2 linked regions of the Sus scrofa genome follow. The protein of the gene in region 1 purifies or fractionates together with the protein of each later gene. This does not show direct contact. Links are inferred from orthologs where the notes say so. Each region holds a gene or a part of one and is shown in the gene's direction. Other genes may lie near its edges. The genes, in order: TAP1 and TAPBP.

Region 1 (3,663 bases):
GGTTCCCAGGCTAGGGGTCGAATTGGAGCTGTAGCCACCGGCCTACGCCAGAGCCACAGCAACGCGGATCCGAGCCAAGTCTGCAACCTACATCACAGCTCACAGCAACGCCGGATCGTTAACCCACTGAGCAAGGGCAGGGATCGAACCCGCAACCTCATGGTTCCTAGTCGGATTCGTTAACCACTGCGCCGCGACGGGAACTCCTTTTCCTGACCTTCTTAGAACACTGTGTTGATGCCCTTCGCTGTGGCACCTGGCTCATTGCTCGTCGCTCCCATCACTCTGAGCCTCCTGTTCACTCCACTCTCTTCTCTTGAACCCTTGGCAGGTGCCATCACATCTCGGGTAACAGAGGACACATCCACTGTGAGTGTGTCTCTGAGTTCGGAGCTGAGCCTCTTGCTGTGGTACCTCGCACGGGGACTGTGTCTCTTAGGGCTCATGCTCTGGGGGTCACCTCCCCTCACCATGGTCACCCTGGCCGCCTTGCCACTGCTTTTCCTTCTGCCTGAGAAGCTGGGGAAATGGCACCAGGTATGTCTAGGGAGTTGCCTCAACCTACACTGACCCTCATCCCAGACTTGGTGGGCTCAGATCCCTTTCCTGGCACCTTCACTGGTTCTCCTCTTTGTGGGACTCCTTGTCCCTGTCGTCCATGTTCCCAGATTGCTCAGTGTTGATCTTCACATCCCTTGTGTCTTCTCTTCTAATGCCTGCCCACAATCTGTCTTTAAGAACATGATCACCCATCTCAAGAATATGCTCCCCTACGACGCTTCTAAGTCATTTTCCTCTTCTCTGTATCCTTTAGTATCTGGGGGCCTGGCTGTGTCCCTTTGTCCCCTTGCCTTCCCTCTGCCACGTCTCACCTTTAAACTCTAATCGGATAACTCAGGTACTAGTGTCCCCTATGGTTTGTCAACAATCATGTGTGGCATCTCTGGTCCACGTCTCCACAGGTGCTGGCAGCACAGGTGCAGGAATCTCTGGCAAAGTCAAGCCAGGTGGCCATTGAGGTTCTGTCAGCTATGCCTACTGTCCGGAGCTTTGCCAATGAAGAGGGTGAGGCCCAGAAGTTCAAGCAAAAGCTGCAGGACATGAAGACACTCAACCAGAAGGAGGCCCTGGCCTATGCGGTCGACCTCTGGACCACCAGTGTGAGCACCTGCAGATGACTGCCTAGTCCCTTGTCCCCAAGATGCCTCAATGCCATTCCCTTTCCCATGACCCTGCTCCACACTCTTCCTCCACTGCCCAGTGGTTGGTTCAGTGGCCATATTCTAACAACCGGAGGCTCAGTCACCCTACTCACTGTTCCTAACCCCCTCCCCCCTTTTTAGGCGTGCTAGATGGCTTCCTTTCACTACGGTACACAAAAATCCACCCAACCCTCTCTTTAGGGAAGTGTTTTCCAAGGCCTTCTTTTGCCTCAAGGGGGTGCTCAGAGGACTATAAATTCTGGCACCCTGTCCCGTTTCATGCTGACACTACATGGATGCTAGTGAGAGTCCTGGGAGTAGCAGAAGCAAGGATGAGGGGCACCTGTGATGTAACCGAAAGCGAACACGACCAGCCATCAAGTTCCTATCACGATGCTGCCATTTTCCGGCTCTGTGACCAGGGGCTGGTGACTTCACTTCTCTGAGACTGTTTTCTCAGTTTTAAAAATGGCAGTGACCTAACCTTGTTTATGGGGCTTTTGATGCGACTATTAGATGACATTACATTCATGAAAGCCTTTTGTGCAGAGTAAATGCTTCCCAGACAAGGTGATAATGGTGATGGTAATAACGATTGGCTTCTTTTCTGTATAACTGAGTGAGACTCCGTGGCATTGCTATGGTTCATTCCTTTTTTTTGTTTATTTGTTTGTTTTTGCTTTTTAGGGCTGTACCTGAGGCATTTGGAGTTTCCCTGGCAAGGGGTCCAGTCGGAGCTACGGCTGCCAGCCTACCCTAGAGCTACAGCCACAGCAACACTAGATCCGAGCCACATCTTTGACCTACACCACAGCTCATGGCAACACCCGATCCTTAACCCACTGAGCGAGGCCAGAGATCGAACCCGCAACCTCCTGGTTCCTAGTTGGATTCGTTAACCACTGAGCCACGACGGGAACTCCAAGAACTTCTTATCTCCTTAATGCTAATGATTCTGCTTCTCTGCAGCCCCTCTAGATTTTTCTACAAAAGTCCCTTTTCTGTGTGGTCTCTCCACAGATCTCAGGGATGTTGCTGAAGGTGGGAATCCTGTATGTTGGCGGGAAGCTGGTGGCAGGTGGGGCTATAAGCAGCGGAAACCTCGTCACATTTGTTCTCTACCAGATCCAGTTCACCGAAGCTGTTCAGGTGAGGTCCTTCCATTCTCACATCCCAGGGCTTTTCCCTCCCCTGTCCCATCACCATCTGAGTCACCTTCCTTCCATGCTTTGCCCTTCTCACATCACATAATCCTGGCAGGCAGATTAGGTCCCTCCCCCACTACCTCCTCCCATCTCACTATTCATACCTCCCCTCCAGGTACTGCTGTCCACCTACCCCAGGGTACAGAAGGCTGTGGGCTCCTCAAAGGAAATATTTGAGTATCTGGACCGAATCCCTCGCTGCCCGGCCAGTGGATCGTTGACTTCCTTAAAGTCAGAGGGGCTTGTCAAGTTCCAGAATGTCTCCTTTGCCTACCCGAACCGACCAGAGGTCCCAGTGCTGCAGGTACAACCCACCAACCCCTGCACTCCACCAATCTTCCTCTCAGCTCGATCTGAATCGTCTTCCTGCCTTCAGTCTGCTTAACATCAGGTGTAGCTAGATCCTTCTTTACCCTTCAGAGGCAAAGATGAGCATCATCTGTTCCATAAAATTGCCCCAAACTCAAGACCTAGTTTGGATTTCCAGGGAGGACAGGAAAGGAGGCTTTCAGGGAGAAGGCTGTCATATCCTAAGGAACTGCTGCAAAATCTGTGTATCCATCTGGTCTTCCATCTTTCCTTTTTCTTGCCTTTTTTCTTCCTTTTTTTAATGGTCACACTGGGCCAGGAGCTGAACGCCTGCATCACAGCCACAGCAACACCGGCTCTGAGCCACTTCTGTGACTGAACGGGGCAGCTGCAGCCACACCAGATCCTTAACCCACTGGGCGAAGCCAAGGATTGAACCTGTATCCTCACGGACACTATGTCAGGGTCTTAACCTCCTGAGCCACAACAGGAACTCCTCCTTTTTCTTTCCATTTGTGATTTCAAATGTGATTTTTTTTTTCTTTTTTTCTCCTGGTCTCTGAGATTGAGTGTGCGGCATGGTCTTTGCCCTGGTCTTTGTCTCTTCTTCCATCTCTAGTCCACGGGGAGGTGGCATCGCTGAGGAGCAGAAGTCTGTGCATGTGGGAGGGTAGGAGTTGCTGTGTTTCTCCACTTTCCTCTTTTCTTCTCTGGGGTGAGACACTGACAAAACAATGGGCCAAGTCCATGACGCTCTTAAGGTTAGGGGCCTTGATCTGCCTCTTAGTGTGTGATTCTCTGGCCTCCAGGGCCTCACGTTCACTCTACGTCCTGGTGAGGTGACCGCCCTCGTGGGGCCCAATGGGTCTGGGAAGAGCACCGTGGCTGCCCTGCTGCAGAACCTGTACCAGCCCACGGAGGGGCAGGTGCTGCTGGGTGAGAAGCCC
Region 2 (4,604 bases), about 4.6 Mb from region 1:
ACATCCGTCACTGTCCCTGGTGCAGGGGTCCCCCCCGGGAGTGGGGGCAGTGTAGCCCCTGCTGCTGTGGGCTCCGTGCGCTCTCATGCCTCCAGCCGGGCCAGTGAGAATCAGTCCCCCAGCAGCAGCAACTACTTCAGCCCCCGGGAGTCCACTGATTTCTCCTCTTCATCCCAAGAGGCTTTTGCGGCTTCTGCAGTGGGCAGCGGGGAGCGTCGAGGTGGTGGCCCTGTGTTCCCAGCCCCGGTGGTTGGCAGTGGAGGGGCTACCTCTGGGAAGCTGCTGCTGGAGGCAGATGAGCTGTGTGATGATGGCGGGGATGGGAGGGGGGCGGTGGTCCCTGGGGCTGGGCTCCGGCGGCCGGTCTATGCACCCCCCAGCATCGTACCACAGAAACACTGGGTGTACGTGAAGCGGGGTGGAACCTGCCCCGCACCAGCACCCCTGGCTCCCCAAGACCCAGACCTGGAGGAAGATGAGGAGGAGGAAGACTTGGTGTTGACCTGTGAGGATGATGAAGATGAAGAGCTGGGGGGTGGCTCCCATGTTCCACCAGGGGGAGAACCTGAGACGACCCTTAGCATTAGTGATGTCCGGACCCTGTCTGAGCCTCCAGACAAGGGAGAGGAGCAGGTCAATTTCTGTGAGTCCTCCAATGACTTTGGCCCCTATGAGAGTGGGGGTCCCGGAGGGGGGCTTGAGGATTCAGGGGGACCAACCCCTTCCTCCTATGCTCCCTCCCACCCTCCTAGGCCCCTGCTTCCGCTGGACATGCAGGGCAACCAGATCCTAGTCTTCCCATCCTCTTCATCCACCTCCTCCTCCTCCTCACAGGCTCCAGGCCAGCCACCAGGGAACCAAACTGAACACGGGGCTGTGACGCTGGGGGGCGCGTCAGCAGGGGCCCTGGGCATGCCGGGTGGCACTGGTGGGACCCCTGGAGGAACAGGCAGTGGGGATGGAAATAAGATCTTTCTGTGCCACTGCGGGAAGGCCTTCTCCCATAAGAGCATGCGCGATCGGCACGTGAACATGCACCTGAACCTGCGGCCCTTTGACTGCCCCGTGTGCAACAAGAAGTTCAAGATGAAGCATCACCTGACGGAGCACATGAAGACTCACACAGGCCTCAAGCCCTACGAGTGCGGCGTCTGCGCCAAGAAGTTCATGTGGCGAGACAGCTTCATGCGCCACCGGGGACACTGTGAGCGCCGGCACCGCCTAGGTGGGGGCGGGGCCGGGGCCGGGGCTGGGGCGGGACCCGGGGGGCCCACCGGGCCAGCCGTGCAACCCAAGAGAGAGTCTCCAGGCCGGGGCAGCGGCGACGAGGCGAGTGGGACCACGCCCCCGCCCAGCCGACGGGTCTGGTCCCCGCCCAGTGTCCATAAGGTGGAAATGGGCTTCGGTGGGGGCGGAGGAGCAAACTGAAGAGGCGGGCTACTGGGGGTAGCCTGCGAAGGAGGGAAGAGGAACGGGAGCCAGGGGCCCTGTGGCTCTTACGTGGTGTCCCCACACACCTACTGTCTTCCTATCTCAATAGACTTGTACATATTCTGGAGTTGGGACCGCGTTGCACCACGGATCACCCCTTTCCACTCTGCAGCCCCTCCTCCCCAAAGTATCCCCAAACCCAGCCCTTCGTCCCCCTCAGATGGGTACACTGAAGCCCCAGCCCCAGAGTAGAATAGGGCGCACTCGGTGGGGAGTGGGGAGGGAGAGGGGGCTAGTGGAGCATCCTGGAGTCGCTGGGTCAAGGGTCAGGTGGTTGTAGTCTGTACCTGAAGTCTGTGTTTGTGTTGTTGTGGGGACCAGGTCTTTGAGCCCCACCCTTGTCCTGGAACATACCCTGTCCCTCAAAGGATGTGCCCCTTATTTCCACCCTAACCTCTCCTCCCCCACCTTGGCGTCCCCCACCTTGATTCTCACTGGGGAGGGGGGAGTGAAGACAAGGAGGGAGTAAGTTGTAGGAGTTTTTATTTTAAATCTTATTTTTTTTAAATGGTGATTAAAATATTTATTGGTCATTTCACTTGGCTTCCCGACACCCCCTATGTGTTTGCTGGGGACTTGGCACAGGTGGGGGATGGTGGAGGGATGGTTCTCAGGGAAGGGGATTCTGGCGGAGAGGAAGGGGGAGCCCAGAGGGCGGGAGGGCTCCGGACTTTGTGGTGTTGGGTGGTCCAGGAGGGCGGGGGGGGGGAGTGGGTGCGACTGAGGTCCCCAGACCAGAACTGGAGAGGAGGTTCCGGTGCAGCCTGCGGGGAAGCACCTGCCTCCCCCGCCTTCACCTAACCCGAGCGGGGATTTCCTCCGTCCCACCTGCGGCCTTTGGAGGAAAGTGAAAGTGAAAGGGGGAAGAGGAGGCTGCGGAGCTGAGAGGATCGCGACGCCATGAAGCCTCTGTCTCTGCTCCTCTCTGTAGTAGCTTTGGGTGAGCTAACCCCGCGACTCTCTGCTCAGAGAAGCGGTGGGAGGTGACCCCGCCACGGCAGGGGTGGGGGGTAGGGGGTGGGGAGAGGTCAGACCACCTGATATTGGGGCCAACACCTCACCCGCACCCTTCCACCCCAGGCTTGGCGTCCACCGTCTCGGCGGGTCCCGCGGTGATCGAGTGCTGGTTCGTGGAGGATGCGGGCCGGGGCCAGCTGTCCAAGAAACCCGCTGCCCTGCTGCTGCGCCAGGGCCCCGGGAGCCCACCTCCTCGGCCGGACCTCGAGCCAGAGCTCTACCTCAAAGTGCACGGTGAGCCTTCCCCGACTCGCTCCCAATTCCGTCGCCTCCACCGAAAGCCTCTCCTCTTTGGGTCTTGTAGTGTCCGCGGGCCTGTTTCCTCCTCCGTAAAATGAAGCTGGAATACCTGTGAATCGCTCACTACCGGGTGGTTTGCCGGTTTGAAATCCCGCCTTCCTGCCCCTTTGCTGGCGGCGACTCTACAGTTACACCTCCCTTCTCTGCTCTCACAGACCCTGCGGGAGCCCTCCTAGCCGCCTTCAGGCAGTACCCCCGGGACGCCCCCGCGCCACGCTGCGAGATGAGCCACTATATCCCGCTCCCCGCCTCGCCCGACTGGGTCAGCGGCTTGACTCCGGAGCAGAGGTGCCCGCGGGCCCTGGACGGGAAGTGGCTAATGGTCAGTATGTCCAGCCCGGTACTCAGCCTTTCCAGCTTCCTTCAGCCGCAGTCTGAGCCTCAGCTGGAGCCTGCTCTCATCACCATGGCAACAGGTAGCTAAGGAGGGGAAGTGGAAATAAATGGGTACATTCTAAGGGTCCAGAAAAGCCGGTTCCCCAGTGGGGTCTCAGTTTCCTTATTTGTAGATCCAGGCAGTTCAGCTAAAATTTAGCTATACCTACTGCTGCCTCTAGGCCCAGCCCAGTTTTTTTAAAGACTTGCGGCTTGGGGCGGGGCTTCGCAGTATTCCGGGGGCGGGGCTTTGGGGGGGTGGGGCGATGGGTCTTGGAGTGTCTCGGGAGAAGGAATTTTTCTCCTTTCCCGCCTAGATCTTGCTAGGTGCCCCCTCCTTTGCGGTTCGCTTAGTTTAGACATCCTTGGCAGATAGCTAAGCACGGGCTCTTGAGCACAAGCTTCTTGACCTCCCCGACAGCTCCTTGTGAGGACGTGTTGACCCTGTGGTCACCAAATAGTGGGCTTGAGTGCATGGAAGAGAGGAGGCGGGAGAGCAGATGGTTCCAGCTGCAAGGACCACTTATTGCATCATGCTACGCAATTTGGGGTCCAGGGGTCAGGGTTGGGCGCAGAGAGGGAGTGGGTGGAAAATGCAAGAGTAGGGAAGATCTGACCTGTCCAGGACTTGGAATTTCTAGGAACTATTCTGTGGACGGTGGGCAGGATATAAACAGAGTCCTTGGCTTCCTTCAGGCTTAAGCAATTTTGTGGAAACAATACAACTTGACCAGCCTGGGTTGGTCAAGCCCAGCTGAACCCTACACCCTCCATTTGCCAGGAGTCCCTACACCCACAGGGCTCAGTGCCCACCCTGCAACCCTGACCTGCACCTACACCTCCATTCTCAGTCCCCAGACGTGGACAGGGGCAGAGGCGAGCCGCTTATTCTGGCAACAGTATTCCGAGTAGGTAGGAATATTTCTCAGGCTGTTGGCTTCCCAAGGTGGGGGTGAGAGAATGTCCTTTTCTCTCTGAGTCTGCTTTTCCAGCTCTAAAATGTGGTTGGTATTTCCCATCTCCCTTTCCGTTGTTGTGACGATTAAGGGAGACACTTTGTTAATTTATTTACTGATTAAATAAATATTTATTAGCACCAAGAATAAATTAGCGGAGTTCCCGTCGTGGCGCAGTGGTTAACGAATCCGACTAGGAACCATGAGGTTGCGGGTTCGGTCCCTGCCCTTGCTCAGTGGGTTAATGATCTGGCGTTGCCGTGAGCTGTGGTGTAGGTTGCAGACGCGGCTCGGATCCCGCGTTGCTGTGGCTCTGGCGTATGCCGGTGGCTACAGCTCCGATTCAACCCCTAGCCTGGGAACCTCCATATGCCGCGGGAGCGGCCCAAGAAATAGCAACAACAACAACAACAACAACAACAAAAAAGACAAAAGACAAAAAAAAAAAAAAAAAAAAAAAAAAGA

Evidence for each region.
Region 2: the proteins of TAP1 (region 1) and TAPBP purify together in Homo sapiens (co-immunoprecipitation; 6 studies listed by BioGRID and IntAct, with this or other methods). This does not show direct contact. The link is inferred for Sus scrofa from reciprocal best matches to the Homo sapiens genes TAP1 and TAPBP.

What each region holds. Positions count from the first base shown.
Region 1 is NC_010449.5:25,065,471-25,069,133, reverse strand, and holds part of TAP1 (antigen peptide transporter 1), read left to right. Parts: intron 1-331; coding exon 332-537; intron 538-962; coding exon 963-1,160; intron 1,161-2,222; coding exon 2,223-2,351; intron 2,352-2,522; coding exon 2,523-2,711; intron 2,712-3,525; coding exon 3,526-3,663. UniProt on the Homo sapiens protein: ABC transporter associated with antigen processing. In complex with TAP2 mediates unidirectional translocation of peptide antigens from cytosol to endoplasmic reticulum (ER) for loading onto MHC class I (MHCI) molecules.
Region 2 is NC_010449.5:29,670,430-29,675,033, reverse strand, and holds the start of TAPBP (tapasin), read left to right. Parts: upstream 1-1,580; 5' UTR 1,581-2,391; coding exon 2,392-2,431; intron 2,432-2,571; coding exon 2,572-2,742; intron 2,743-2,963; coding exon 2,964-3,224; intron 3,225-4,604. Other genes in the region: ZBTB22 (zinc finger and BTB domain-containing protein 22), read left to right, coding at 1-1,428. UniProt on the Homo sapiens protein: Involved in the association of MHC class I with transporter associated with antigen processing (TAP) and in the assembly of MHC class I with peptide (peptide loading).